7 linked regions of the Neurospora crassa OR74A genome follow. The protein of the gene in region 1 purifies or fractionates together with the protein of each later gene. This does not show direct contact. Links are inferred from orthologs where the notes say so. Each region holds a gene or a part of one and is shown in the gene's direction. Other genes may lie near its edges.

What was found.
Region 2: the proteins of NCU09380 (region 1) and NCU09349 purify together in Saccharomyces cerevisiae (affinity purification with mass spectrometry; 4 studies listed by BioGRID). This does not show direct contact. The link is inferred for Neurospora crassa OR74A from reciprocal best matches to the Saccharomyces cerevisiae genes PUF6 and HAS1.
Region 3: the proteins of NCU09380 (region 1) and NCU08595 purify together in Saccharomyces cerevisiae (affinity purification with mass spectrometry; 3 studies listed by BioGRID). This does not show direct contact. The link is inferred for Neurospora crassa OR74A from reciprocal best matches to the Saccharomyces cerevisiae genes PUF6 and RPF2.
Region 4: the proteins of NCU09380 (region 1) and NCU06843 purify together in Saccharomyces cerevisiae (affinity purification with mass spectrometry; 3 studies listed by BioGRID, with this or other methods). This does not show direct contact. The link is inferred for Neurospora crassa OR74A from reciprocal best matches to the Saccharomyces cerevisiae genes PUF6 and RPL3.
Region 5: the proteins of NCU09380 (region 1) and NCU07712 purify together in Saccharomyces cerevisiae (affinity purification with mass spectrometry; 5 studies listed by BioGRID, with this or other methods). This does not show direct contact. The link is inferred for Neurospora crassa OR74A from reciprocal best matches to the Saccharomyces cerevisiae genes PUF6 and DBP10.
Region 6: the proteins of NCU09380 (region 1) and NCU04041 purify together in Saccharomyces cerevisiae (affinity purification with mass spectrometry; 4 studies listed by BioGRID, with this or other methods). This does not show direct contact. The link is inferred for Neurospora crassa OR74A from reciprocal best matches to the Saccharomyces cerevisiae genes PUF6 and MAK5.
Region 7: the proteins of NCU09380 (region 1) and NCU05270 purify together in Saccharomyces cerevisiae (affinity purification with mass spectrometry; 3 studies listed by BioGRID, with this or other methods). This does not show direct contact. The link is inferred for Neurospora crassa OR74A from reciprocal best matches to the Saccharomyces cerevisiae genes PUF6 and FUN12.

What each region holds. Positions count from the first base shown.
Region 1 is NC_026501.1:3,514,555-3,518,809, forward strand, and holds NCU09380 (pumilio domain-containing protein), read left to right. Parts: upstream 1-1,455; 5' UTR 1,456-1,630; coding exon 1,631-1,868; intron 1,869-1,943; coding exon 1,944-3,745; 3' UTR 3,746-3,971; downstream 3,972-4,255. Other genes in the region: NCU09382 (TPR domain-containing protein), read left to right, coding at 1-77; NCU09381 (RWD domain-containing protein), read right to left, coding at 315-931, 1,003-1,069. UniProt on the Saccharomyces cerevisiae protein: RNA-binding protein involved in post-transcriptional regulation. Component of the ASH1 mRNP which transports the ASH1 mRNA to the distal tip of the bud, where the ASH1 protein is translated and targeted to the daughter cell nucleus.
Region 2 is NC_026502.1:4,196,723-4,200,608, forward strand, and holds NCU09349 (ATP-dependent RNA helicase has-1), read left to right. Parts: upstream 1-1,161; 5' UTR 1,162-1,304; coding exon 1,305-2,921; intron 2,922-2,990; coding exon 2,991-3,110; 3' UTR 3,111-3,386; downstream 3,387-3,886. UniProt on the Saccharomyces cerevisiae protein: ATP-dependent RNA helicase involved in 40S ribosomal subunit biogenesis. Required for the processing and cleavage of 35S pre-rRNA at sites A0, A1, and A2, leading to mature 18S rRNA.
Region 3 is NC_026501.1:9,517,966-9,521,535, reverse strand, and holds NCU08595 (ribosome biogenesis protein), read left to right. Parts: upstream 1-1,373; 5' UTR 1,374-1,475; coding exon 1,476-1,489; intron 1,490-1,555; coding exon 1,556-1,664; intron 1,665-1,734; coding exon 1,735-2,057; intron 2,058-2,127; coding exon 2,128-2,707; 3' UTR 2,708-3,070; downstream 3,071-3,570. UniProt on the Saccharomyces cerevisiae protein: Required for biogenesis of the 60S ribosomal subunit.
Region 4 is NC_026502.1:1,783,778-1,788,048, reverse strand, and holds NCU06843 (60S ribosomal protein L3), read left to right. Parts: upstream 1-1,483; 5' UTR 1,484-1,612; coding exon 1,613-1,625; intron 1,626-1,854; coding exon 1,855-1,933; intron 1,934-2,059; coding exon 2,060-2,216; intron 2,217-2,274; coding exon 2,275-2,298; intron 2,299-2,368; coding exon 2,369-3,018; intron 3,019-3,076; coding exon 3,077-3,332; 3' UTR 3,333-3,771; downstream 3,772-4,271. Other genes in the region: RCM-1, read left to right, coding at 1-142; NCU06844 (hypothetical protein), read left to right, coding at 4,167-4,169. UniProt on the Saccharomyces cerevisiae protein: Component of the ribosome, a large ribonucleoprotein complex responsible for the synthesis of proteins in the cell.
Region 5 is NC_026504.1:2,110,014-2,113,994, forward strand, and holds the start of NCU07712 (ATP-dependent RNA helicase dbp-10), read left to right. Parts: upstream 1-1,181; 5' UTR 1,182-1,295; coding exon 1,296-1,608; intron 1,609-1,674; coding exon 1,675-3,981. Other genes in the region: NCU07713 (DnaJ domain-containing protein), read right to left, coding at 89-664, 748-861. UniProt on the Saccharomyces cerevisiae protein: ATP-binding RNA helicase involved in the biogenesis of 60S ribosomal subunits and is required for the normal formation of 25S and 5.8S rRNAs.
Region 6 is NC_026506.1:2,535,253-2,539,205, forward strand, and holds NCU04041 (ATP-dependent RNA helicase mak-5), read left to right. Parts: upstream 1-1,153; 5' UTR 1,154-1,236; coding exon 1,237-1,461; intron 1,462-1,522; coding exon 1,523-3,715; 3' UTR 3,716-3,851; downstream 3,852-3,953. Other genes in the region: NCU04040 (tRNA (uridine-2'-O-)-methyltransferase TRM7), read right to left, coding at 1-444, 514-616. UniProt on the Saccharomyces cerevisiae protein: ATP-binding RNA helicase involved in the biogenesis of 60S ribosomal subunits and is required for the normal formation of 25S and 5.8S rRNAs. Required for the maintenance of dsRNA killer plasmid.
Region 7 is NC_026504.1:5,514,274-5,518,474, forward strand, and holds the start of NCU05270 (mitochondrial translation initiation factor IF-2), read left to right. Parts: upstream 1-1,401; 5' UTR 1,402-1,689; coding exon 1,690-2,202; intron 2,203-2,297; coding exon 2,298-2,813; intron 2,814-2,887; coding exon 2,888-4,201. Other genes in the region: NCU05271 (hypothetical protein), read left to right, coding at 1-537. UniProt on the Saccharomyces cerevisiae protein: Plays a role in translation initiation. Translational GTPase that catalyzes the joining of the 40S and 60S subunits to form the 80S initiation complex with the initiator methionine-tRNA in the P-site base paired to the start codon.

The sequences.
Region 1 (4,255 bases):
GTGTTGTTGGCGCTGAGGAAGATGAGGTTTGGGAAGATACAGACGTTGAGGAAGATGAAGATGAGGAGATGAGTTAAATGGCCCCAACTGGCTTCGTCTCGTTTGTCTTCTAACCATACCACCTTAAGCTGAGGCGTCTTTTTCAGGCAAACTTGTTATGGCATACCCTGGAGTCCGGTTAAGAGGGGTAAAAAGTAATGTTCAGGATTGGTTTTCACATGGGTTAGGTATACTTAGAGCGGATTAAAGCCTACAGCAAAGAATTAGATAATTTTGGCGAACGTGATAGAGGGCTTACGATTTGTCTAACGGTCCTAAACCGTGAGTTTCTGGACCTCTTCCACGGGGACGTCATCATCGCCTTCCAGGTCCTCATCACCCTTCCCAGCCAAGCCCCTCTCCCAGAGTTGTTTGCCCGTGAGCTTGACAGGCTCCTTTATCCTTGCCTTCTTCATCTCGGCCGCCTTTTCCTCTTCCTCCTTGATTCTCTGATCTTCCAGTTCCTGCAAGAAACTCTCCCTCCACTTCAAAAAGGTTTCGCGATTGACGGGAGTGCCCTGGAACTTCTTGTTCTCTTCGCGCTCCGCGGCAAGGGCGGCCTCCTCTTGCGCCTTGATGGCAGCGTCCCTCCGCTCTACTGCCAGTTGCTCCGCAGCATCCTTCAACGCCGACACAACAGTAAAGATCATGGCCATCCCCAAATTCTCTTCAATTGTCTCTTGGATACCTTCGAGCAGCTGGAACCGATCGTCGGCAATGTTTATGTACTGATGGGGCGGCGCATTTGGGGCGGACGCAAGCTCAAGGAAAGGTGGCTTGTCGGGATAGTCTTCGGGGTACCGTACGGTAAGTACCATGCTTGGTGTTTCTTCGGCATCATCATCAGGAATGTCCAGCGTGATAGTAATCCGGTATTCGGTATCGGAGATATCTAGACGAGTCGAGCTTGGGTTAGGACAGGCCCATGCCTGAACGGCAACCGATGTGGGCGAACAATCGAACCTTGGATCTCATCTGGGAAGATGGAGTCGAGGACTTCCCTCTCTTCAATTTGTTCTTCGCGGCCCATGATGTCCAATCGGTAGGGCGCCTTTCAAGTTTGCAGTGTGCTGGACGACATAAAACGTGAAAGACTCCTTCCAAAAGTGGGTGCTGGCAATGTTGACTTTCAGGCGTTTACTAACCTAGAGAAGAGGACGGGAGGGGCAACCAGACGGCATTGCAGTGACTGTAGCGTCAGGTGCAGGCCAAACTCCAAAACGCGAGCGCGGCTCAATCTATGGTGGGGGTCCTGCCTGGGTTCCTTGTTATATCAATGGACAGTTCTAGACAGTGTCGATCAAGTCGCCCCACCACAGAACCCCGGAAAGCTTCTCACCGCCCGGCAGATGCCAGGATGCGGATCCAGAAATTTTCAGCGGAAAACGTGCTACAGAATTTCCAATTCAGAGGCTTCAGATACAGGGCACTCCAAAGTTTCGGATTCCCGTCTGAATACCTGCACTTTCACATATTCCTGCTCGACCATCACCTTTGAACCAGCGCCCACCCAGTACGACGTCAACACGAGCCCCCCATACCTAGATCAATCCTTCATATCCCGGAGCAACACAGACATCGCATAGCATCAATGGCGACCAAGTCGTCTTCAGCAGCCGCTGCCGGCGGAAAGAGAAAGGCGTTCGGCAAGCATAACGAGGATGGCCGTACAAAAGCAGTAAAGACCACTTCTGGCAAGAAACACATCAAGGCCGAAGCCGAAGACAATGAATCCTCCGATGAAAGCTCAGACGCCGAGTTCCACACAGGAGAGACCACAACATCCACGCCCAATGAGTCCGGCAATGGCTCCAACGAGACCAAGTCTGGTACGTTGTCTCTCTTTACCATATCTGCCCCATGATGACCGAACCTCGCTCTGTTATTTGACTAACACAACGCAGGCACAAGCTCCAGGGAGGCGCACGCCAAGCAAAAACAACTCGCCCAAGAACGCAAGAACGCGAAGCCACTGGCCGATGAGGTGCACCGTACCAAGAAGCTGTGGGAGAAGCTCCGTCGCAAGTCGCATGTGCCTAAGGAGGAGCGCCAACAGCTCGTTGAGGAGTTGTTCACCATCATAACTGGCCGCATCAAGGACTTTGTCCTAAAGCACGATGCTGTCCGTGCCGTCCAGACCGCCGTCAAGTACGCCACCCCGGTTCAGCGTAGGCAGATTGCGAAGGAACTTCAAGGAACCTATGCGCAGCTCGCCGAGAGCAGGTATGCCAAGTTCCTGATCGGCAAGCTTCTGGTGCAGAACGACAAGGAGATCCGCGACATCATCGTCCCCGAGTTTTACGGCAAAGTTCGCAAGCTCATCAACCATGCTGAGGGTTCCTGGATTCTGGACGATGTCTACCGCGGTGTTGCGACCAAGGAGCAAAAGGCCAACCTCCTTCGCGAGTGGTACGGTCCCGAGTTTGCTCTGTTTAGGCAACCCAAGGGTACCGAGGTCACTGGCGATCTCTCCAAGATTTTGGCTGACGAGCCCAGCAAGAGGACAACGGCGATGAAGTACCTTTTTGACATGGCCAATGGCCTCATTCAAAAGAAAATGACTGGTTTCACCATGCTCCACGACGCTCTGTTGCAGTACTTCCTCAACCTTAACCCCGAAAGCGAAGAGTTCAAGGAGTTCTTTGAGACTATTAAGGAGGATGAGACCGGCGACTTGCTCAAAAACATGGCATTCACCAAGTCTGGCGCCCGCCTCGTGTGCTTGCTCCTTGCGCACGGAACCGCCAAGGACCGCAAGCAGCTGCTCAAGGCCTACAAGGACACCTACCAGCTCATGAGTGGTGACAATCACGCGCACGCGATCATCCTCGCCGCCTACGATCTCCTTGATGACACTGTCCTCACGTCCAAGACGATCTTCTCCGAGATTCTTGGCAAGAATGAAGAGAAGGATGCCGAGCACGTCATCTTTCTCGCTAACGACCTCAACGCGCGCACGACGGTATTATATCTCTTTGAGGGAATGTCCAAAGCGTTGTTCCCTGCCAGCCACGCCACCGACCTGGAGATTCTGAAGGAGATTCACGAGATCCGCACCAAGACCAGCAAGAAGGACGCCGAGGTTAGGCGTAAGGAGTTGGTGACGGCCATGTCGCCTCAGCTCCTTGCGGCCATCGCAAGCTCACCCGCCGACCTGGTGGCCACCTCTTTCGGTTGCCAGTTTGTTACTGATGTTTTGCTTTCGGCGACTGGAGATAAGAAGGCCGCGTTGGAGGCTATTGCCTCTACTGCCGGTGGCGATCCCAACGCTGAGGCGCCCAAGGATGCCTACCAAGCTCTTCCCCCTCACATCTCGACAACCATTCACGGTGGCCGCATGTTCAAGACACTGATTGCTGGCGGCCGGTTTGACAAGGCCACAGGCAGCATCCAGAAGGTCGACCCCCCGCTCAACTTCGCCGACCTTCTCTATCCCGTCATCAAGGACCACATTGTACAATGGGCCACCGGCCCTAGCTCTTGGACGGTGCTAGCTATGCTCGAGGCTTCCGACTTCTCATCGAAGAAGGAGCTCCTCAAGACCCTCAAGTCCAACAAGAAGGCCCTTATCAAGGCCGCAACTGAAGCACCGGCGTCGAAGAAGGAAGAGATGGAGGAGAAGCCAAAGGCTAAGAAGGGCAAGAATGCTTCTGCCCCCAAGGGCAACCAGGGCTCGAAGCTCCTTTTAGAGAAGCTCGATGCCTAGGTTGAGGAAATTGTAGGCGTCGCATGGCTATAGTGACAAAAGTGGACGGTAGCCACAGGTTGACTAAATACCCCTTTTATGTTGTTTACTTTGTCAATGCGATTTTGTTGGGCCCCGCGTAATTTGCGGTTGACTGATAGCCCTGTTTACAAGTCTGGACATGTTATATATGATTGCATAGAGAAAAGCTTGCTTCCAGACTTCCCTGATGGTTCAGATATGACGCTTGAAACAGGCCGTGGCCTACTTGGAGTGAGGTAAATCATAATTAACCAGACAGGAGCGAGACAACTTTCTTATATTCGCCATTCCGGACCTTGGAAGGCCTTATTATCATACGACCTTCACATTGAACCACTTGTACCACAATTTTCGAGGGACACAACCTCCCCATATCAACATGGCGTGTAGAGGCAAAGTGCTGTGCAAACATTTTGACTGCGGCACCAAGACCGACATATATCGGGTTCACCGTCACTTGATGGCTAAGTGCCGCTTGGAAACCGAATA
Region 2 (3,886 bases), on another chromosome or scaffold:
GAACCAGAAGTTCTTGTCCGATTTTATTTTATGGGATGCCTTCTGGATTGTTTCCGTGATGTCTGTCCGTGGTGTTGAGCGAGTGGTGTTGAAGAATAGGGCCATGGGACCAGATTATATCATGAACATCAACTTCCGTGCTGATACCTCCCATTGGAACCATTCTCAGCCTCAGATCGTGGAAAGATGCGACCCAAGGCAGCAGTGAGCCAAAGACCGAACCACACTTGTGACTCGGTCAACTCCATGGAAAATGATCATGTTTTCATGTAATAAAGGTGTTGTTACTTCCGACGTGACCAAGATAGCATCCCGTCAGCCTTGAGAGAATATGAAGGATTCCGAAGGGGTTCATGAAACTTCACTTCAGCCAATGTAATGATGCGAGGATATTGATCTGCCATGTGTACTGTTATGTATCGACCCAGGGGCCTCTCGGCGAGTGACACTTCCAACCCAGGGACCTGGATTCGAAGCTGACTGGTACGTTCCAATCTTGCGCCCTGTATCCCGCAGACGGGGTAAGTTTCCAGCTGCCCCGAATTATCGATTATCGATCAAGGCAACCCGTAGCCTGACTATGGACTTGTGTCAAGGCCTTCGAAGTCGTCCGCTGGACGGGAACTGCAAAGTCCACCAGGCTATTGACTGGTCTGTCTCAATCCACTAAACCTTTGGAATAGAAATGTAACATAAGAAGAATACTGCAATGCCAGGATCTCAGAGGTACTGTACAGCGTTTGAATATCCGCAGTGTAAAGCAATGCCACCATGGACGACATCCAGAGCCTAATTCCGTGAGAGGGACAACGAACATGAAAGACCGACTACACGCGGTTACGTTGAGTATATCATGTCTATGACAGACTGGAGTAATTGCAGGAGAGGTGAAAGCGTTGTGATAATAAACGAATATCAGAGAAGAAAACAACATAATGCGGATTTGAAGATAAGAGGAAATGGACAAGTTCAGTTCTCGACTCTCGCAAGCAATTGGGGGCACAATTGGCGGGTTCCGGGGTTCGGCTGATCTGCAGTCAAAAGTGGGGTCAACACTGGGACGGCTGTAGCGCACAGACCAGGTTTTCATCAGGAGAAGAGGGCAGAATTGGCAAAATTTTCACCGCCTGGTGTAATCCCTGGTTATCGAACAAGCGATAAGAAAAAAATCCCCAGCGAAAGAGAAGGCAGAGGAAGGATAACAGATTCGACTCGCTGGGAATTTGAACGGAACCATTGCGACGCCCTTTTCCCAGAGTATCGCAACCACCCACCGACAGTACCAACCCCCCCACGCCATCACGATGGCTTCCGAATTTAGCAAGAAGCGCAAGCTCAAGGACGCCAAGATTGCGACCGAAGATGGCGCCGCCACCGACAAGAAGACCAAGAAGGTGAAGAAGGACAAGAAGGAGAAGAAGGCCGCCGAAGAGGTCGTCGAGGACGCCACCCCCGAGGAGGAGAACGATGCCCAAAAGGCGGAGGAACAACAAGATGGCGACGAGGTCATCCCCACCGGCAACGGGGACAAGGAGGACAGCGACGACAAGGACGCTGAGGCCGGCGACGAACTCACAAAGACCAACGACTCCCTCATCGCCCCGTCCATCGCGACCAATGCCACCGACTTCTCCGAGCTCAACCTGTCCGACAAGACCATGAAGGCCATTGCCGAAATGGGCTTCACCAAGATGACCGAGATCCAGAGGAGAGGTATCCCGCCTCTGCTCGCCGGCAAGGACGTCCTCGGTGCGGCCAAGACCGGTTCCGGCAAGACCCTCGCCTTCCTCATTCCCGCTATCGAGATGCTCAGCTCCCTGCGCTTCAAGCCGAGAAACGGTACCGGTGCCATTGTCGTCACTCCTACCCGCGAATTGGCTCTCCAGATCTTCGGCGTCGCCCGCGAGCTCATGAAGAACCACTCCCAAACATACGGTGTCGTCATCGGCGGTGCCAACCGTCGTGCTGAGGCCGAGAAGCTGGGCAAGGGCGTCAACCTGCTCATTGCTACTCCCGGTCGTCTGCTCGATCACCTGCAAAACACTCCCTTTGTGTTCAAGAACATGCGATCGCTCATCATCGACGAGGCCGACCGTATTCTCGAGATTGGTTTCGAGGACGAAATGCGCCAGATCATCAAGATCCTGCCCAAGGAGGACCGTCAGACCATGCTCTTCTCCGCCACACAAACCACCAAGGTTGAGGATCTCGCCCGTATCTCGCTCCGTCCCGGTCCTCTTTACGTCAACGTCGATGAGGAGAAGCAGTTCAGCACGGTCGAGGGTCTGGACCAAGGCTACGTTGTCGTCGACGCCGACAAGCGCTTCCTGCTCCTCTTCTCTTTCCTCAAGAAGATGCAGAAGAAGAAGGTCATTGTCTTCTTCTCGTCCTGCAACTCGGTCAAGTACTACTCCGAACTTCTCCAGTACATCGATCTTCAGGTTCTCGATCTCCACGGCAAGCAGAAGCAGCAGAAGCGCACAAACACCTTTTTCGAATTCTGCAACGCCAAGCAGGGCACCCTCATCTGCACGGACGTTGCCGCCCGTGGTCTCGACATCCCCGCCGTTGATTGGATCGTCCAGTTCGATCCTCCTGATGACCCGCGCGACTACATTCACCGCGTCGGTCGTACCGCCCGTGGTAACAACACCAAGGGCCGTTCGCTGCTCTTCCTCCAGCCCAACGAGTTGGGTTTCCTCGCCCATCTCAAGGCCGCCAAGGTCCCCGTTGTGGAATACGACTTCCCCAAGAGCAAGATCCTCAACGTTCAGTCCCAGCTGGAGAAGCTGATCGGCCAGAACTACTACCTTAACCAGAGCGCCAAGGACGGTTACAGGTCGTATCTCCACGCCTATGCTTCGCACAGTTTGCGGTCGGTGTTTGATATCCATAAGCTTGACTTGGTTAAGGTGGCCAAGGTATGTTTTCTCTTCTCTCCCTTTTTCTTCCCCAACACCAGAACAGTCACTAACGTACTACAAAAACAGTCCTTCGGCTTCTCCACCCCTCCCAGGGTAGACATCACCCTGGCCTCCAGCATGTCGCGTGACAAGAAGCAGACGAGCAGGAGAGCGTATGGTAGCCAGCCGAAGCAGAACCGTCACTAAGCGAGGCGGGATTCGGTGTTCGTGTTGTTGTTGTTGTTGGTTAGAATACGAAAAGGGGATGATGATTTGTCAATGTTCTCTCTTAGATATCCATCGGGCATTCGGTGTGGAGCATAGTGGGTGTTTTCTTTTGTGTTGCTACTTTGCTGTTTACTTGTTGTTGTTTGCGCAAGCTGCCAAGGCGTTTTTGGTTGAAAAGTAAAACTGGAGGGCTTCAAATCAACAATTAATTTTTACTTTACGTTGCTGCTCCGTTGGTGTGGTATTTCTGATGCTGTGCCGTTCGGTCATCTCGGGTGTCTTTCCATGTGAGGATGGAACATATTATCATGCTGACAGTTTCATTTGATAAATGGTAAGAAAGACCTTGAACAAACCACATCATATCTATTTTGCTACGCAATTGGAAAGATCGTGATGTTGATATGGCTGATGGAAAGCATGGAGGTCCTGAGTGTCACTCTCTATCAAGGATCCTTTGTAGGGATTCATAATCAATACCCAAATTAGGTAGCTGACAACCGGTACCAACTCAACACTAACCTCCAACAACAAAGCATGAAACAACCCACTGATGACAGTCTACTATTTCAGAACGACCTACATCGATACCTATTCTATCTGCAGCCCCAATCGACCCCCCGAACCTGAACTACATAACAGACGGAAACTCCCCGACACAAACCAACCTAACAACTTTACCAAATTTCACCTCGTCCCCAATATCCTCCCCTTCCCCTTTCCCAATATCCTCTCCTTTCCCTTCCCATCACTTC
Region 3 (3,570 bases), about 6.0 Mb from region 1:
TGCCTTTTGCCATTACTTTTCTTGACGCCATTTGAAGAAACATAGCCGTGAACGACCAAAACCTTTTCAGGATGATCGTACCATGATAGCCCACCATCATCGAGACCCCCCGTCTTCAAGACTCGTTCCATCAACCTCACGATATTAGTTACCTCTCTAGTCCGAGTCTCTGGCCCGAGCGCCTGCACGGAACAACCCGCATCCAAACCTCCTTCTCTCACCACACCCTCACGGGAACATGCTTCCAACGAGTTCACGAGTCACGACAGTTTACTTGCATCCCAGGCTTCTCAGTCGCGGGAAACTGCATAGAACTTTTCGAAAATGCATTCCTAATGCCCGAGTCTCCGAACACTCCACATGTACATACATACATACAGCTGCGGACAGTTTAAGTTTCAGTTTCAGTGGCATGGGCTGGGCTTGACGAGAATGCAATCGCCCTTTTTCAAAACCGTTGAAAAGTAGGTAGGTAGCTTCCCGATGGCATACATACCTAGTGACGGCGGAGGCGGAGGCGGTGAAAGGAGGAGTGCCGAGGATCCATGGAACAACGGTAAAAGAAGCCACCACGTGAATGGGATGCGTTCCGGAGGTTGTACGATACATGCAAAGTATGGATGGGATGGGTATGGGCTGTTTGGACGTGATGGGGAAAGAGACCGGGGAGTCTCATCAGGTTGGATGGATATCCTACATTTATGGTCCAGTCAAGACGACCACGAGAGAGAGAGGGGACATGGCGAAATAGATCATTGTGAGAGGAGGGAAGCTATACTGAACTGCTTCATGGTGTTAGAGAACGACAGGCCAGGTAGGTCCGTAGTAGGTGGATGAGAGCATTCTTGATGCTCGCCGGGAGCAATGACTGGAGAAATCTGGTTTTATGTCAGAGTAGAACGGTTTTAAGGAATCTGTATTGTGAACCCGAAGTGTAGAAGAACACCATCCCAATATGTTGGCTTCGTGTATTCAGAATCTTCTCAAGTGTGCTGACCTTGTAAGAGTGATGCCAGAGTTTTGTGATGTTGCTGACTTGGCAATCATATTGCTCAATGCTTGTTTCCCAAAGAGCAAGTGATTATCGAGTGATCAGAACAAGAATATGGAACTCAAGGTTGACTCCATCACCAACCTAATTGTGATGAGACGGCAGAAATGGAAATGATTTTGGTTGCCGTTGCAGTGACGTTGAGGCGTGAAATGGAATGGAACCTAACAGCCCGTGAACCCCTGAACGACAGGCAGGGGAAAGCCAGCGCCCAGTGGACGAGCGGACAATCTTGACCCCACCTGCCCCACAAAATTTCGAGTTCAAGGTCTCCTCTTATCGATAAGCGCCGTTCTGGAATTTCTTTGCTCGACCATCACGACGACGATTTGCAGGTGAAGGAGACAGTCCCCAGTCCACATCACCACCTTGCGGTACCTATCCAATCCACCCACTACCGTCATCGCATAACCAGACCGCCAAAATGCTCCGCCAAGTGTACGTCAATCGATCATGACAATGGAACATACCGAACATTAGCTGACAGTTCTCTTCTCCGCACAGCAAGCCGCGGACAGCCCGTTCCAAGAGGGCGCTCGAGAAGCGTGCCCCCAAGGTCAATGAGAACCCCAAGACCGCCCTCTTCCTTCGCGGCACCACCTGCAGCCAAGTCGTATGTCACCTCCTCCATATCCTCTCCTCCTATATATGATGGTATCATCAAAATCTAATACAGTCCGCAGACCCAAGATGCCATGCAAGATCTCTACTCGCTGCGCCAAACCCACGCCAAGCGCTTCCACAAGAAGAACCCCGTCCACCCCTTCGAGGACGCCAGCTCCCTGACCTTCTTCTCTGAGAAGAACGACACCTCGCTCATCCTCTTCGGCTCCAGCAGCAAGAAGAGGCCCCACACCATCACCTTCTGCCGCACCTTCGACTACAAGATGCTCGACATGCTCGAGTTCTACCTCGACCCCGAGACCTTCCGCAGCATTGCCCAGTTCAAGACCAAGAAGGTGCCCGTAGGCACCAAGCCTTTGATGGTGTTCGCCGGTACTGCTTTGTATGTCCCCCGATTCTTGTGACAAAGAGGAAGGAGTAGTGAATGAACGTCAGCTAACCGAGTACCACAGCGAATCCCCCGTCCCCAACGCCTTCACCACCGCCAAATCCATGCTCATCGACTTCTTCCGCGGCGAGCCCTCAGACAAGATCGACGTTGAGGGTCTGCAGTACTGCGTTGTCGTTTCCGCCGACGAGCCCACTTCCTCCTCCACCGATCCCTCGGACCCCTCGACAAAACCCACCCTCCACCTGCGCGCCTACCTGATCCGCACCAAGCGTTCCGGCCAGAAGCTCCCCCGAGTCGAAGTCGAGGAGCACGGCCCCCGCATGGACTTCCGCCTCGGTCGCCTCCAGCAGCCCGACGCGGACATGCTCAAGGCTGCGATGCGCAAGCCCAAGACCAACGAGGAGCGCACCAAGAAGAACATCAGCATGGACAGCATCGGTGACAAGATTGGTAGGATCCATATGGGCAAGCTGGATCTCAGCGAGTTGCAGACGAGAAAGATGAAGGGTCTCAAGAGGAGCAGGGATGTGGTGGATGAGGACTTTGATGATGCGGATATGCCGATGGAGGGCGTCAAGGAGGTCAGTGACAGGATCGTGGGGCCGAGGAAGAAGAAGGCGAGGGATGTCGTTGAGTTTTGAGTTGAGCAAGAGTAGGGAGACGGGAGAATGAGGGGTTGAGGGGATGAAGAAGAAGGCAGGCAGGGAGGAGGTTTAATCTTTTTTCTCTCACAATTGTTGCGATCATCCACCAAGACACAAGGCGTTTTTGGGAGTTTTTAGTTTTATTACTTTACTTTATCTTATATCATTGGCTGCTGCTGCTCTTGGGGAAGATGAACATTCATGCCAGATCAGATCATCAACAGAAAAGAAGAGATGACCAAAGCTGGAGTTATTGATGGATGATGGGTTGTTCGTGAAGTTGCCTTGCCAAAGCTTGTAGACCTAGACATCTATCTAGCATATACGTGATATTTATACCAACCAACATATGGGACCATAGGATCAACCGATCGACCGGCCGAATTTGCCGCTACAGCTTTGTTTGGAAGAATCTAGTATTGTCAGCACTCGCTGCCTACTATCACATGGCACTCATGCTATTTCCCTCTTCTACCTGGATACCTTGCTACCTTGCTACCTTGCTACCTTGCTACCTTGCAACTATCTATAATCATAGAAAAAAGACAATGCCATAATCATGTACAACCATAGGAAAACCTATGAACTATTCCCTGTTTCGATCTTTGGTTTGGAAACGTCTATAAGGGGTGTCGGTGAGGCAGTCTGCAGACTGATTTAGTACAAAATTATGAAACCAAATATCCATGCCGAGAACGATTGATTAGTGTATATGTTGACTGACTACAAGGTTATGAATGAAATGCCTGTACCAGAAATTGTGTTTGTTAGAGCAGAGTTGTATCAATCAATGATGGCTTCCTTATGCTTGTCTATAAAGAGACTAAAGCCAGTCCCACCAAAGAGTTAAGACTCGAGAT
Region 4 (4,271 bases), on another chromosome or scaffold:
TAGCGGAGAGGAGGACAAGAAGGGCGGAATTATTCCCGGTCCTTCCTCCGGATCCGGCCCTGCAGCAAACGAGTCCAAGAACGGAGCCTCAACGAGCGGTAGCTTCAACGGCATCATGGGACAAAAGTCAGAAAGCAACTGATTACATCATCTGCCGTGTACCTCGAGCTTCTGCGCGAGAGACAAGACCCAGTGTATCTGCTTATAATACGGCAGAGGTAGGAGAACCCAAGATCCTGTCGATGTCATAATGGTTTTGCTTATGGATGGGAATGTACGTCGACTTGTTCGTTTTATGTGGTTTGAAAGAGTGGTCATCATTTCACACACATGGATGATGGAGACAGAAGGACCTGTGAAGCTCAAGATCTCATGGGTGCGAAATGCACTATTTTACCACGTTTTGACTGACCGGTAGGAGATGAGGAGGGAGAGGAAGGAGCGGATTCCGATGTACATACATTATTATGACTTGTGTTTGGAATAGAAGCGTGTGCATGTCATCTGTTGGAAAGTCGACAGCGAGAAGGGAATGGGAATATCCTCAAGAGGCGGAAATGAACTCGCTGCTTTGCCATAGAGGCCAGTTAGAGAACATGATTACGATTGTCGTTACACTCTTGGGATCGTAATTGCAACGTCGTGATCATTCCCGCACGGGATACGGTGTTATTGAAATGGCTGAACGGCGCCTCAGCCCGAAAAGTCAAGGAGATGACAGCTAAGTGTAGTGCTTTCGTGGTTATCCCTTGTAACCAGTACGCCTTTGACCATGCATGTCCGCCTAATCATGTAATCATGTTAAGCCAACCCACTTGTTTTACATCTACGACTGTTATAATGCCCTTGTCCACGAGCTCGACAAGCTAGAGGTATTGAGTCAAGAAGCAGATGGGGCATTTGACAATGTCGTCATGCTTCTGACAGGCAGCTGACAACCCCAATAGATGGAGATCTCGCTTTGATCCAAACAGCCCAACCTAGGCTATTGAAAGCCACAACAGCTTGCTCTCTTTGACACCGTGGGCGCGGACATCGAATTCGGAGAATCAGCCGTGTGATCAAGATGGAGTCAAGGGGGGGAACAACGAAGATTGGAGCTCAACATATTGTAACCGACCAGACCAAACAGAGCCGTTGCCACGCGCAGGCGCCGAAAAAATCCCATATCTCGTATTCCATCTGCGAACGTACCTACGGCGGCAGCGGCGACGATGACGGACTTATACGCAGAGCAATCAAAGTCACGTTTTCTGCCACCTCAACAGGACTTTACCTTGTCATCAATGTGCCATTAGTGAATGGCCCGCCAAGCTGACTAAGTGTACGGGGTCGCTCTTGTGGGGTGGATTGTTCTGGGCTTGGCTGGTCATCGCTGGTTGGCTGGGCGGGCTCGAGGAACAGGAAGGCGGACATGCCCGCCGGAAAGGGCTCGCGCAAAAGTTAGGGCTCCGCTGCACTTGAGGCCCGTGCACGGTCCAATCCACACCACTCACACAAAAATTTGGCTGGTCCAATTTCTCTGGCGATACTTCTTGATTTTGTTTTCGCGGTAGTGAACTTTTTCCCACTCGACCATCAACAACCCGGGTACTTGGGATCATCAGCAGTCATGTCTCACCGTAGTAAGTAACGCCTCATCGCCGTCGCTGTCGCCGCCAGACATACGGTCTTTGTCGATTTCTACACGCAATCCCGACTTCGAGAGAATCGATGGAGCAGCTTTCCCGAGAGACGGTCGTCGCGATATCGAAATTTTCGACTTTTTGGCGACTGGATTTTGGGGAGCATGCGTGATCACGACTTGGACCTCATGGCAACCTGAACGTCCTTCATGCTGACTCGATGCTTCAGAGTACGAGGCTCCCCGCCACGGTTCGCTGGCCTACCTTCCCCGCAAGCGCGCGGCCCGCCACAGGGGAAAGGTCAAGTCGTAAGTCAAGCTTATCTTCTGGTACCATCGACAACACTATCGCTAGTAGTTTGGATCTTTCGCGATCGGAACTTGGGCAATAGGGCATGCGAACAGAGAGGCTGACCAGTTGCGCGTTCATGACAGGTTCCCTAAGGATGATGCCAAGAAGCCCGTCCACCTTACCGCCGCCATGGGCTACAAGGCCGGCATGACCACCATCGTCCGCGACCTCGACCGCCCCGGCGCCAAGGCTCACAAGAAGGAGGTCGTTGAGGCTGTGACCATCATTGATACCCCTCCTGTACGTACAACGCAGCCCGCTTGGCTCTTTTTGTGTCAATGGCTAACATCTCTCGCAGATGATCGTTGTGGGTCTGGTCGGCGTAAGTCTTTGATCCTGTCCAGCTGCCGTATATGGCCTACCGCGACCGTGTGATCTAACCCCGATATTAGTACATCGAGACTCCCCGCGGTCTCCGCTCCCTCACCACCGTCTGGGCTGAGCACTTGTCCGACGAGGTCAAGCGCCGCTTCTACAAGAACTGGTACAAGTCCAAGAAGAAGGCCTTCACCAAGTACGTCAAGAAGCACTCCGACAACAACGGTGCCGCCATCACCCGCGAGCTCGAGCGCATCAAGAAGTACTGCACTGTCGTCCGTGTTCTTGCCCACACCCAGATCCGCAAGACTCCCCTCAAGCAGAAGAAGGCCCACCTTATGGAGATCCAGATCAACGGTGGCTCCGTCGCCGACAAGGTCGAGTTCGGCCACGGCCTCTTCGAGAAGCCCGTCTCGATCGACTCCATCTTCGAGAAGGACGAGGTTATCGACGTCATTGCCGTTACCAAGGGTCACGGTTTCACCGGTGTCACCGCTCGTTGGGGCACCAAGAAGCTTCCTCGCAAGACCCACAAGGGTCTCCGCAAGGTCGCCTGTATCGGTGCCTGGCATCCTTCCCACGTCCAGTGGACTGTTGCTCGCGCTGGTCAGGCCGGTTACCACCACCGTACCTCGGTCAACCACAAGATCTACCGCATTGGCAAGGGCGATGCTGAGGACTCTGCTGCCACCGAGGTCGATGTCACCAAGAAGAAGATCACCCCGTATGTATCCCCGTCTGTCTTGAAGAAGTTGAAGAGCGCAAAACTAACCCTGTTCCAGCATGGGTGGCTTCGTCCGCTATGGCGAGATCAACAACGACTTCGTCATGGTCAAGGGCTCCGTTCCCGGTGTCAAGAAGAGAGTCATGACTCTCCGCAAGTCCATGTTCGTCCACACCTCCCGCAAGGCCCTCGAGAAGGTCGAGCTCAAGTGGATCGACACCTCCTCGGAGTTCGGTCATGGTGCTTTCCAGACCCCTGCCGAGAAGAAGCAGTTCCAGGGTACCCTCAAGAAGGACCTCGCTGCCAGCTCGTAAATTGGCTGCTGCAGTTGATCTCCTTGTTAGTCGGGTTGCATTGGTGTCACGGTTTTTTCGTTGCTCTTTCGGGTCGGTCGGGAAATGGGACTATACCTAGCATTTACGGCTTAATAAAAAGCTGTTGAAGAACAATGAAACGTTGATCCAGTGTACTGCCAAAGAGAGTGTCCTTCAGCAAAATGTGTTTTATGTGATGTGAACACGTGAAGAATCTGGTGGTTGGCACAGATTCGATGGACACTGTTGTTTATAACTTCGTATGTTTTATTCCAGGACTTTTGTCTTGGGCTGCTATGCCCCCACTAGTGTAGGGTAATGACTTGAAGGGACCAGTGGCATATAGATATACCCAATTTGATAGTCTTGAATGTAGCATGTCGTGTGATTCTCGTTGCCTGTTCTGCTGCGCTGGACGTGTTCGATTTATCAACTGTTCATGAGCTTCCACCTGTCATTCACTACCCGTCTCTATGCTTTCTCTTCCTGATATTGTTCATCTGCGATACCACGACTGATAATGATATCACTTTTCGACCATCTTCTCATATTCCTAGTCGTGCTTTTGGGAGTCCTCACGGCGTACATGGCTGTTGTTACTTGTTGAGGGCATATCAAACCCCGATCGACCTTGCAAGCAGCCCATCTCCTGATTGGTTGACGCTTCCACTCTTAGGCCAACGTGAGATCCGCCATTCCTAATTGGTTTCAGCTACTGCAGGTTACATCATCGGACGTTCGTTCGCATCCCACCACGCAGCCCACCCACCTGACTGATCATTGTCATCGTCGTCCCGCCCAACGAAACGTTCTCAACCTAAACACAACAACATAATGGTTTGAACTTCCCTAACCCTGACCCAGATCTGTTCTAGTTGCTTCTTCCATCCTCAACACAAACTCTTTGTCGACAATCCGCAAAGCTAATTACCCGGCTCT
Region 5 (3,981 bases), on another chromosome or scaffold:
TGCATCGTTGATGAACACATCTTGCAATTGCCGTAGTTGAATATTGCTGCGCATGCTCATATGAAAGAGCATTGCAGGTTCTTCTTGCTCAGCCAATAGGCTTCAACTTCTTTTTCTTTTTCTTATCCGAATCCCCAGACTTGCCCTTTTGAAACGCGCGCCAACTATCGATGCGCTGGTCTCTCGTCTTTTCCCAGTCCTCTTCGTGCTGCCTCTTGCGCTTGCGCTGCTCAGCCTCCTCGTCAGCTTTCCGCTGCTCGCGGCCTTCCTCCTGCATCTGCGCCTTGAGCTGTCTGCGTCGTCGCTGCTCGTTCTCGATCAGCACAAACTTGGTCTTTTCCTGCCACTTCTTTTCAAACTCGGCCGTCTTGAGCTCAGGGCTGTCGACCGTCCATTTGTTCTCGCGGATCAGCAGCATGCGCGCGTCCGCGATAGCTTCGTCTAGGTTCTTGCGGTGCTTCTCCTCCATTAGCTCCGTTTGCGCCTTCTTCAGTCTATCGAACGCCTCAGGCGCCAAGGGGTTTTTGGTCTTGTCGGGATGGATCAGCAGGGACTTTTTGCGGTAAGCAATCTTGATGTCGGATTCGGTCACGCCGGGCTTGAGGCCGAGGACTGAGTAGGCGTCGAGCCGGAAGGCTTTCAAGATACGGTCGATCTCGGCATCCTGTCGGAATTTAGATTGTCAGCAACTACTGAGTTGGGGATGTAAATGTTGGTATAGTTGGGCGTGGTTGTTGTCTGGCTTGCCTTCTCCCACTCCTTGGCTTCAGATTCCAGCACTTCAAGCGCATCCCGAGTGTCGGCAGGAGTTTCGTCTTTGACGTCTTTAACGTCCTTCACGTCCTTAGTGTCTGTCGCCATATTGTCGCCGGAATGGAGGGTCAATCTGGATGCTTGTTTGATCAATTACAAAGGGTTGATGGATAAGTAAGTTCGGTCTACCAAACGGAACGCAACTCCGGGGAAGTTTAGGGAAGTTCAGTAGTTGCGACTTGCGACACCTCCAGGAGCGCGGAAAGCACAGCTAACGCACGCCAGCGCTGCCAAGGCAAACCCACGGGCATGCAATGGGTGTACTTGATAAGCTGATAATGGATAAATGTCACATTGGCCCCACTAAAAAGTCGACCATCCAAAATTTACGGGTGACGGGCAGGCATTGATGGCTACAGTAGACAAGAGACCCCAAGACCCCATCATCATCACCAACCTAAACTCCAACCCACCCCGTCCGTCTTTGCATCTTCAATTAGCGATTCGTGCTGCAATTGGCAGCAACACAACCCTCGCTCACCATGCCTAGACGCGCAGCGTCCCCCACACCGTCCGAGAACGAGGTTGACATCGCGGGTGCTTTGTTCAACAACGACAGCGACTTCGAAGACAACAGCAGCAAGCACCACACCAAGAAGGGAGCTGTTACGAACAGCGGGCTTGACCTCGATTTCAACGATCTTCTCGGTAACGGCGATGATGGACTACCTAGCTTTAATGGCGAGGGCGATGATGACGAAGCCTTTATCGCTTCGCTCACACGGAGCTCGCAGAGAAAGTCCTCCAACATTCAGGGCAAATCAGTCAAGAAGGGTGGAGGTTTCCAGGCAATGGGTGCGTAGTCTTCCGTCCCATGGCATAAGTTGATGATGCTTGGGGCAGCTGCTGATACTCTCCTAGGTCTAAACGCCCATCTCCTCCGAGCGATTACCAGAAAAGGCTTCTCCGTCCCGACCCCCATTCAGCGCAAAGCGATCCCCCTGATTTTAGAAAGAAAAGATGTGGTCGGCATGGCCAGAACCGGTTCCGGAAAGACTGCAGCTTTCGTTATCCCCATGATTGAGAGGTTGAAGGGGCACAGTCCACGTGTTGGCTCGAGGGCGCTCATCATGTCTCCCTCGCGTGAACTTGCGTTGCAGACCCTCAAGGTCGTCAAGGAACTCGGCAGAGGTACCGATCTAAAGACCGTATTGCTCGTCGGTGGTGACAGCCTAGAAGAACAGTTTGGTATGATGGCGTCGAATCCCGATATTATCATCGCCACACCCGGTCGTTTCCTCCATCTCAAGGTTGAAATGAACCTCTCTTTGGCCTCCATCAAATACGTTGTCTTCGATGAAGCTGATCGCCTCTTCGAAATGGGTTTCGCTACTGAGTTGACCGAAATTCTTCACGCCCTCCCTCCTTCCAGACAGACGCTTCTTTTCTCTGCGACGCTCCCATCGTCCTTGGTCGAATTCGCCAGAGCCGGTCTTCAAGAGCCAAGCCTTGTCAGGTTGGATGCCGAAACCAAGGTGTCACCCGACCTCGAGAGTGCTTTCTTCGCAGTAAAGGGAGGTGAGAAGGAGGGTGCCCTTCTCCATCTTCTCCACGACGTCATCAAGGTCCCGCTGGGTCCGCCCGAGGGCACAAAGGAAGAGAGTGACGAATTGCAGGCGAGGAAAAGGAAACGCGAGTACAGGCCCAATCCTAAGGAGAAGCCGACGGAATACTCGACCATCATCTTCACAGCAACGAAACATCACGTCGAGTACATTGCGAACCTGTTGAAACTCGCAGGCTTTGCCGTGTCCTACGTTTACGGTTCGCTTGACCAGACGGCCCGTTTGATCCAAGTTGACAACTTCCGTCGGGGAAGAACACATATTCTCGTGGTTACCGATGTCGCCGCCCGTGGTATTGATATGCCTGCTCTCGCCAACGTCATCAACTACGATTTCCCATCTCAGCCCAAGATCTTTGTCCATCGTGTTGGTCGTACAGCTCGTGCGGGTCAGCGTGGTTGGGCCTATGGTTTGGTCCGTCAGTCAGACGTACCATATCTACTTGATCTACAGCTCTTCCTGGGAAGGAAACTTATTATCGGCCACGATCAGAAGAACCCTTCCTTCGCGGCAGACGTCGTAGTTGGAACACTAAAGAGAGATGGAGTGGATGTTAACATTGAGTGGGTTGAGAAGGCGCTCAAGGAGAGTGCCGATCTCAAGGCGCTGAAGGGTGTTGCCGCAAAGGCCGAGAAGCTCTACATGAAGACGAGGAATTCTGCGTCGAGCCAGAGCGCAAAGAGAGCCCGCGAAGTTACGCAGTCCAGGGGCTGGACACAGCTCCATCCTTTGTTTGGAGAAGAAGCCGCTGAAGCCCAGGCAGCTCGCGATGATCTTCTCAGCAGGATAAACCGCTTCAAGCCCCAGGAAACCATCTTTGAACTTGGCCCTAAGGGCAAGTCTAGCCGCAATAAGGCCGCGGAAGTTGTACGAAACATGCGTTCCAGATTCAAGGAGCGCAAGACTACCAACGACGAGGATGATGAGGACGTGGACATGGAAGATGCCGAGGGTAAACCTGACGGCGAGGAGACCAATGCGTTCGAAGACTTTGAGGATGAGGAAGAGGAGGGAGAGGCGGAAGAGGCAGAAGAGGCGGAAGCCAAGGAAGACCCATACGCCGACGACTCGGATTCGGAGATGGAGGTTACAGTATCCAGCAGCATGCATACGAAGAAGAAGGGTGGCCCGGTCAACTTCCAAGACCCCGAGATCTTCATGTCCTACACGCCTCGCACCACTAGCCTTGCGGAGGAGAAGGCTTACGGTGTTCACTCGGGCGGCTACAGCGGCAACAGCTTCGTCGAGGCCGCTCGCGACGCTACCATGGACCTGACCAACGACGAGAGTGCCAAGAACTTCGGTCTGCCCACGAAATCCAAGATGCGTTGGGACAAGCGTCACAGCAAGTACGTGGCGGTCGCCAACGATGAGGACGGCTCCAAGGGCGCCAAGATGATTCGTGGCGAGTCCGGTGTCAAGATTGCCGCCTCGTTCAAGAGCGGCCGCTTCGACCGGTGGCGCAAGGATAACCGTCTCGGCAAGTTGCCCACGATTGGCGAGACGGAGAAGTCGCAGCTCATCCGCAACTTCGGAGCCCAACCTGGCCAACCGCGGTACAAGCACAAGATGGAGAAGGCGCCCAAGGATGCGGACAAGTTCA
Region 6 (3,953 bases), on another chromosome or scaffold:
GGCCTGTGACGTCGGGCGCACCATCGCTGATGACCAGATCCACTGGGTGTGAGGCTTGCGGGTTCATGGTGCTTGGGTCGAAATCGGGGTCCAACGCCTTAAGCAAAAGCGGAACGGTGGCGGGATGTGTGATGTCGGCTCGGAGAGTGATGATTCCTGGCAGAGGGCTGATGGGCTGCAAGTCGATGGACACAATCTTGACCTGTTCCCTGGGAGCCGGCGTGCTCTCCTGAGTCGCCTGCACCCTCTGAACCTCATCCTGAGCGTCTTGCTTCTCGGGAAAGACGTTGAGCATCTGTTGGCGGAACTTGGCCTCACGGTCTTGCCAAGCACACCGGCCGAACTTCTCTCCCTTGATGAGAACCCTCGATAGAACCTGAGACCAGGAACCGGGGGCAGCGCAGAGATCGACCACACGAGTGACATTTTCAAACAAGTTGAATTCTGATGGGAACGCTCGGTGTTAGCGGTGATACACTTCTTTACATTACATATGCAATAAACAGTTCTTACCTTCGTCTAGTTGAAGAAGCTTGAAGGCACTTCTGGCACGCCATCCTTGCTCCTTTGCAAGGCGATAGTAGGCATCACGCTTGTCTTTTGATGATTTCCCCATTTTGAATGCTTCGCTCTCACTTACTTGTGTCGAATAATGAAGTGCCGCGAGTGGGTGACGAGAGTGAATGACGGGAGCTTGTGAAAGAGACTGGGCCCCACTTTTGCCTGGTGACGGGTCGCTGTCGCTGGGCGCCGATTTGGGTCCGTCTGCTGCAAATAGTCACCGCCAAAAAGGATTCTGCCGGCATAATTATCGAGCACCTTGGCGGCCCCAGCACTCGCACACCATAGACGCGCATACTTGGAGGGAAGGACTTTGGCGATAAACGAAAGCTTTGAATCATAAGATGTCGTCTCATGTTTTGTTTCCTCCATCAAAGTCAGACTGATTGTTTCCACGTCCTATTCTGTCGGCACCCTCTACACTACAAGCTTGTTAGCCAGACCTGGAATAGGTAGGCGGTGTCATTTACAGCACATGGGCTAGCCTGTTCCAGCTAGAGGCTGCTGCAACCCAGCTGCAAGGTGGAGCCAAAATTTCCATTTCACTTTTACAGCCATTTTCACTGAGCAGTGTCAACAACACCCTTCAAATCAAAGTTCATCAGTGCATCCAACAACCTCAAGCACTCAAACCCGACACCCTTTTCCACCCGAAAACGACGACATATTCACACCATGGCCGTCGATAAGAAGCGCAAGAACACAAAAGCCCCCGCCAGCGGGCCAAAGCGCCGCAAGACGCAACCGTCGTCTAAGCAGATCAAGCGACCTGTTTCCGTTGATGCGCTGGCATGGAAGACGGTCGACATTCCTGAAATGTTCGATGATGCGGAGGGTTTCTTTGGTTTGGAGGAAATTACCGGTGTTGACATTGTAAAGGATGGCGATGTTGTCAAGTTCGTAAGTTGGGTCATGGATGATGACAGCGACAGGACATGAATGAACTCACATATGTCTTTAGATGGCTGCGGTCCCCAAGTCGGAGGCAGAGGTAGAAGATGACGGCGAAGAGTTTGGTGGTTTCGACGACGAAGAGACACCGAAACCTGCTGGAAATGCGGACCAGGAAGTCAAGACATCAGAAACCAAGGCCGAAGCTGCGAGTACTCCAGCCAAGGAAAAGAAGGCCTCCAAGGACCAGAGGAAGCCAAAGGAGCAGCAAAAGCAGCAAAAGCAGCAAAAGCAACAGCCAAAGAAGGAGCAGCCAAATAAGGCAGCGAATAAGAAGAACGCCGAGGACAAGAAGAAGGCCCGCAAGAACGAGAAAACTACTGTCGAGCCGAAGGACCCCGAACTAGAAACCGATCTTTTCACCAAACTGGAGGAGCTTCCTGAGCCTGAAGAGGAGGAAATTGATATGTCCGAATGGGTGCCACTCGATTTGTCACCTCGTATGATCTCGTCCATCGCCAAACTCAGGTTCTCCAAGCCCACCGTGATTCAGTCCAAGGCTATTCCCGAGATCATGGCTGGTCACGACGTTATCGGAAAAGCATCCACCGGTTCGGGAAAGACGTTGGCATTCGGAATTCCCGTCATCGAAAGCTGGTTGAGCGCTGCTGAGACGAGGAAGCAGAACAAGGAAGAGAGAAAGGGCGCTACAGCGCTGATTTTGTCACCCACCAGAGAACTTGCCCAGCAGATCAGAGACCATCTTCAAGCGCTTTGCAAAGGTCTTCCTACAGCACCTTACATTTGCTCGGTTCTTGGTGGCATGGCCGTACAGAAGCAAAAACGACAGCTCCAGGTCGCCGATATCGTCATTGCGACCCCGGGCAGAATGTGGGAGGTTATGAGCTCAGATAACTCTGTGCTCGCTTCTCTGAGGAACATCTCCTTCCTCGTGTTGGATGAGGCAGATAGACTTCTTAAGGACGGTCACTTCAAGGAGGCCGAGGAGATTTTCAAGGCTCTTGACAGGCCACCGGTGGAAGAGAACAATGAGGATCAGAAGATGGGCGGTACTGATGAGGAGGGACAGGAAGAGGAAGAAGAGGACAGCGAGGAGGAGGAGGAGGAGGAGGAAGAGCACGTCAACAAGAGGCAGACTCTCATTTTCTCCGCCACGTTCAACAAGAACTTGCAGCAAAAGTTGGCCGGAAAATCCAAGTTCAAGGCGACGAGCACCCAGGACATGGAGTATCTTCTCCAGAAGCTGAACTTCCGCGAAACCCCCAAGTTTGTCGACGCCAATCCCGTCCACCAAATGGCCGAGAACCTCAAGGAGGGTCTCATTATGTGCGGCGACATGGAGAAGGATCTCTACCTCTATGCCACTCTCATGCTCCAGCCCACACGGCGCGCGCTTGTATTCACCAACTCGGTCAACTCTGTCCGTCGCCTAACCCCCCTCCTCGAGAACCTCAATCTTCCAGCCTTCCCTCTCCACTCGGGCATGATCCAGCAAGCCCGTCTGCGCTCTATCGACCGCTTCAAGGCCAACGAAGGCGCAAAGAAAAAGAACGGTTCTGCAGCTATCCTGGTCGCTACCGATGTTGCTGCCCGTGGTCTCGATATCCCCGACGTCGACCTCGTCATCCACTACCACGTCCCGCGCGCCGCCGAGGACTACGTGCACCGCTCCGGCCGTACCGCCCGTGCCTCCAACTCGGGCACGAGCATCCTGCTCTGCGGGCCCAAAGAAGCCGTGCCGACGCAGCGCCTCGTTGCCAAGGTGCACGCCCAGGCCGAGGTCAAGGCCGGCAACTCGGGCAACAACACCAAGAAGCTCGTTTCGAGCGGACTTCGCACCATCGATATCGACCGGCGCATCGTCGCCAAGTTGCGGGAGCGCGTCGACTTGGCCAAGAAGATCGCGGATGCGGTGCAGGCCAAGACCATGGGTGGAAAAGAGGACGATTGGATGAAGAAGGCGGCAGAGGACTTGGGCGTCGACTATGACTCGGAAGAGCTTGAGAAGGCGGGCAAGTGGGGTGGCAAGGGTAGCTCCAAGAAGCAGAAGCAGAAGGAGGCACAGCAGATGAGCAAGGGCGAGTTGGCGTCGCTGAGGGCTGCGTTGAGAGACCTCTTGAGCAAGAGGATCAACACGGGCGTCAGCGAGAGGTACCTCACTGGACTGGATGTTAGTGAGCTGCTGAAGGGCGAGCAGGGGCTGTTTTTGGGCCAGGTGGACGGATTGGGCTTGGATGATTAGACGCAGATTCATGGCTGTGGTATTGCATGTTTCCTTTCACGGTTAACCATTTAATTCTGAGCGGTGATCTACATATAGTATCCGGTCTCTTCACTCTGAGTAAGATGTCTTGTATTTTTTCTCTCGTGTTTTGTTCTATAAGGCACTAAAAGAACAGTTCACGTCTTGGACTGTGCTGCCAAGTGAGACAGGGTCCATGGGTCCATCAAGGTCTCCATCTTCCCCATGGCCTAGATTC
Region 7 (4,201 bases), on another chromosome or scaffold:
GGAACCCATAACTGGGCTGAGTTCAGGGTGCTCTTCGAGGGGACGCTTCCTGTCAGTATCAGGAAGTTCCGGCGCGGCAGGACACGGCCAACGTGGGAGCAAGGAGCCTGGAACGCACCCAAGTACGGCCGGCTCATTAGCACACCGAACGATGCCGAGATGTTGGGAATAGCCATGGACGGCACCATGTATCACTTTACGCTGCTTGATCAGCACGCATTGCGTCTGTTGCGATTCATTGTCAACTTGTATAACCTCAGGGGGAAGAGAGACGAGGAAAGGCTGCTGCACGCGGAGCCGAACCTGGGTCCCACTGAGCCGTCGCATGTGGATGGTGATGTGCTGAAGACACTCTTGGATGCGGAAGTCTTGCAAGAGCTGATCAACACGGAGGAGCTGTTGGCGCGGTTCAAGAGCCTGTTGGATAAGTTGGATGGAGGCAAACATACTGCTGAGTGGATGGGCGAGGGCACTGCGGACCAGTATTTTGAACTGGCGTATAACGTGTTGATGTATTATCTTAGGCAAGTTTACTAAGTGCTTGGAATTCTAAGGCGGGGGGGGGGGGGGGGGGGAAGGGCAAGATACACTGGTAATAAACGGACGTGTGATCCAGTGTCGGCCTACAAGCCGTCCTGATGAATGCCTTGGTGGTGTAGCTACAGCATAATAGAAAAGCGAATAAAGAATATCACTAGCAACATCTGGTTAATGAAATACCCATTATGACAAGGTGAGGGAGTTGGCCTGCCCCCTTGGATGGAATATCGCACAAAATACACCAAAGTGGTAGAAAGTAAATACAGAAATTAGCCCAGCAAGTGCCCCACTTGTGCCTTAACAAGCAGGTGCCCCGCATTCTGCACCAACGAGTCGGTCACTGTACTTGTACGCGGGAGTGCAGGAGCTTCCACTTCTTTTTCACCACTGCACTGTACTGTACTGTATTTGTCTTGACTGCTGTCTCCAACAGTCTGTGCAGTGTCAAGTCAAGGGCTTGGTCAAAGCGACACCTCCTGGCTCCGGCACAAGTAAAAAAAAAAGTTTGGAGTGGCGATCCTTGTCTGGATTTTTCTGCTGAATCGAGACTCCTTTGACTTTGCGACTTCGACTACTTGGGATTGAGTTAGAGAACGGGACATGATTGCCGTTTTTTGACCGTAGACGGAGACAATACCAAACACTTTATACGGGTTGAAAGAAAGCGCATAGGCAGACGGTGTAAGTACAGGTACTGAGATAGGTACGTACCTGACCTCTATATAGTGTAGCAACAAACCAGAGCGGGATTCGATACAAAGAACAACGAAAGAAAAAAAAAAGATCCACGGTGCCAAGTACCTACAGTACCATCGATCCACTCTGCAGCACCACCACCGAAAAGTGATACAAGTGACAAGCCCTATCCCGTCGACAAGGGGGGACCTACAGCACCAAAAAAAGTACGCCGCCTGCCTTCTTTAGCAGCCAGCCATATCGCATATAACGGCCCAGTAGCCCCAGTCGGCCGCCCCACGAACCCACCACCAGAACCACCTAGCGAGCAACGAGGTCTTCACCCGGACTTCGACTTTCGTCACAAGGAGAGAAGGAGAGCCCATCAGGATCCTCTCCCCCGCCCATCCTACCGACGACATCCCCGCCTCAAGGTATTCCCCGGTCGACTACCAACAGTCCAGTTAGCCCAACATGGCGCCCAAGAAGAAGGGAAACAAGAAGGCCAACGATGACTGGGAGGCCGAGCTGGGCGAGTCCATCGCCCCCGTCAACAACAACGGCGCCGATGCTGCTGCCGCCTCTCCCGCTGCCGCCGACGACGAGGCCGCTTCCGGTGGTGGCGGTCTGATGGAGAGAATGCGCAAGGCCAAGGAGAAGCGCAAGAAGAAGGGTCTTGCCGACGACTGGGAGGCTGAGCTGGGCGAAGACGCTCCCGGCGCCGAGAAGCCCGCTGCCGCCGAGCCCGTCCCCGATCTGTCGGCCAAGGTCGCCGAGGAGGCCAACCTCGACGACGAGTTCGCTCTCCCCGAGAAGAAGGGCAAGGGTGGCAAGGGCAAGCAGCAGCAGCAGCAACAGAAGGCTGCTCCCGCCGCCGCCGCCAAGAAGGACGAGGATGCTGCCGATGAGGATGGCCCTAGGGTGTTGACCAAGGCCGAGAAGGAGAAGCTCAAGAAGGAGCGTGAGAAGCAGCGCAAGAAGGAGCAGGTGAGTACCCAGTCATTATCACTATTACCCACTAATGACTATACATACATCAGACACAAACGGAAGACTAACAACAACTTCTTTTCACTAAACAGGCTGCTGCTAAGAAGAAGGGCACCACACCCGCCGCCGCCGCCAAGGCCGAGCCCGCAAAGGAGGAGAAGAAGGCCGAAACCCCCAGCCCCGTCTCGACCCCCGCTTCCACTCCCGCCCCCGAAGCCGCCGCCGGTGGCAAGAAGAAGAAGCTCCCCGCCCACCTGCTCGCCCTCCAGAAGCAGCAGGAGGAGCTGCGCCGTCGCCAAGAGGAGGAGGCTAGGCTCCTCGCCGAGGAGAAGGCCAGGATAGAGGAGGAGGAGCGCGCCGCTGCCGAGGAGGCCAAGCGCAAGGAGGAGGAGCGCGCCCGCAAGAAGGAGAAGGAGAAGCAGAGGATCGAGCAGCTCAAGAAGGAGGGCAAGTTCATGACCAAGGCCCAGAAGGAGGAGAAGGCCCGCAACGAGAGGAAGCTGCAGCAGATGTTGGCGGCCGGTATCAAGGTCAACGCGCTCGAGGGTGAAGAGTCCAAGAAGAAGCCTGTCTACGACGACAAGAAGAAGAGGGCTGCTAACAAGAAGGTGAGTCTGTCCGGGATTCTTGCTACAATTACGGTATACTATGGACGGCGCTAACCAGTGTCTACTTGCTACAGAAGGACGAGGAAAAGGCTCTCGCCGAGGCCGCTGAGCGCGCAAGACTCGCCGCTGAGGCTCTGGTCAAGGAGCAAGAGGAGAAGGCCCGCATCGAGCGCGAGAAGGCCGAGAAGGAGGCTGCTGCCAAGGCTGAGGCCGCCAAGGCCGCCGCTGAGGACAGCGTCGACGAGGACTGGGAGGCCGCTGTTGCCTCTGACAAGGAGGATGTCAAGGACAGCTGGGACGCCGACTCCGACGAGGAGGAGGAGACCAAGAAGGAAGAGACCAAGAAGGAGGCTTCTAAGCCCGCCGCGGCCAACGGCAAGACTCAGGCCAAGAAGGAGGAGTCCGAGTCCGAGTCCGAGTCTGAGGAGGAATCTGAAGAGGAATCTTCTGAAGACGAGGAGGCTACCGCCAGGGAACTGGAGGAGGCCCGGAGGAAGAAGGAGGCTGCCGAGCGCCGCGAGAAGGCTCACCAGGCCGCTCTGGCTGCCAGGTCTGCGGACAACCTCCGCTCGCCTATTTGCTGTATTCTTGGTCACGTCGATACTGGTAAGACGAAGCTGCTCGACAAGATTCGTCAGACCAACGTCCAGGAGGGTGAAGCCGGTGGTATCACTCAGCAGATTGGTGCCACTTACTTCCCCGTTGAGGCCATCAAGCAGAAGACGCACGTCGTCAACAGGGACGGCAAGTTCGAGTTCAAGGTTCCCGGTCTTCTTATCATCGATACCCCCGGTCACGAGTCTTTCTCCAACTTGCGTTCGCGTGGTTCTTCGCTCTGCAACATCGCCATCTTGGTTGTCGATATCATGCACGGTCTCGAACCCCAGACTCTCGAGTCCATGAGACTGCTCCGTGAGAGGAAGACGCCCTTCATCGTCGCTCTCAACAAGATCGATCGTCTTTACGGCTGGAAGAAGATCGAGAACAACGGCTTCCAGGAGTCGTTGGCCCTCCAGAACAAGGCTGTCCAGAACGAGTTCAAGAACCGTCTCGAGCAGACCAAGCTCGCCTTCGCCGAGCAGGGTTTCAACTCGGAGCTCTTCTACCAGAACAAGTCCATGGCCAAATACGTCTCCTTGGTCCCCACCTCTGCCCACACCGGCGAGGGTATCCCCGACATGTTGAAGCTCATTGTCCAGCTTACCCAGGAGCGCATGGTTGGCTCTCTCATGTACCTCTCCGAGGTCCAGGCTACCGTTCTCGAAGTCAAGGCCATCGAGGGTTTCGGTATGACCATCGATGTCATTCTCACCAACGGTATCCTCAGGGAAGGTGACCGCATTATCCTATGTGGTACAGAAGGCGTCATCAAAACCAATATCAGAGCC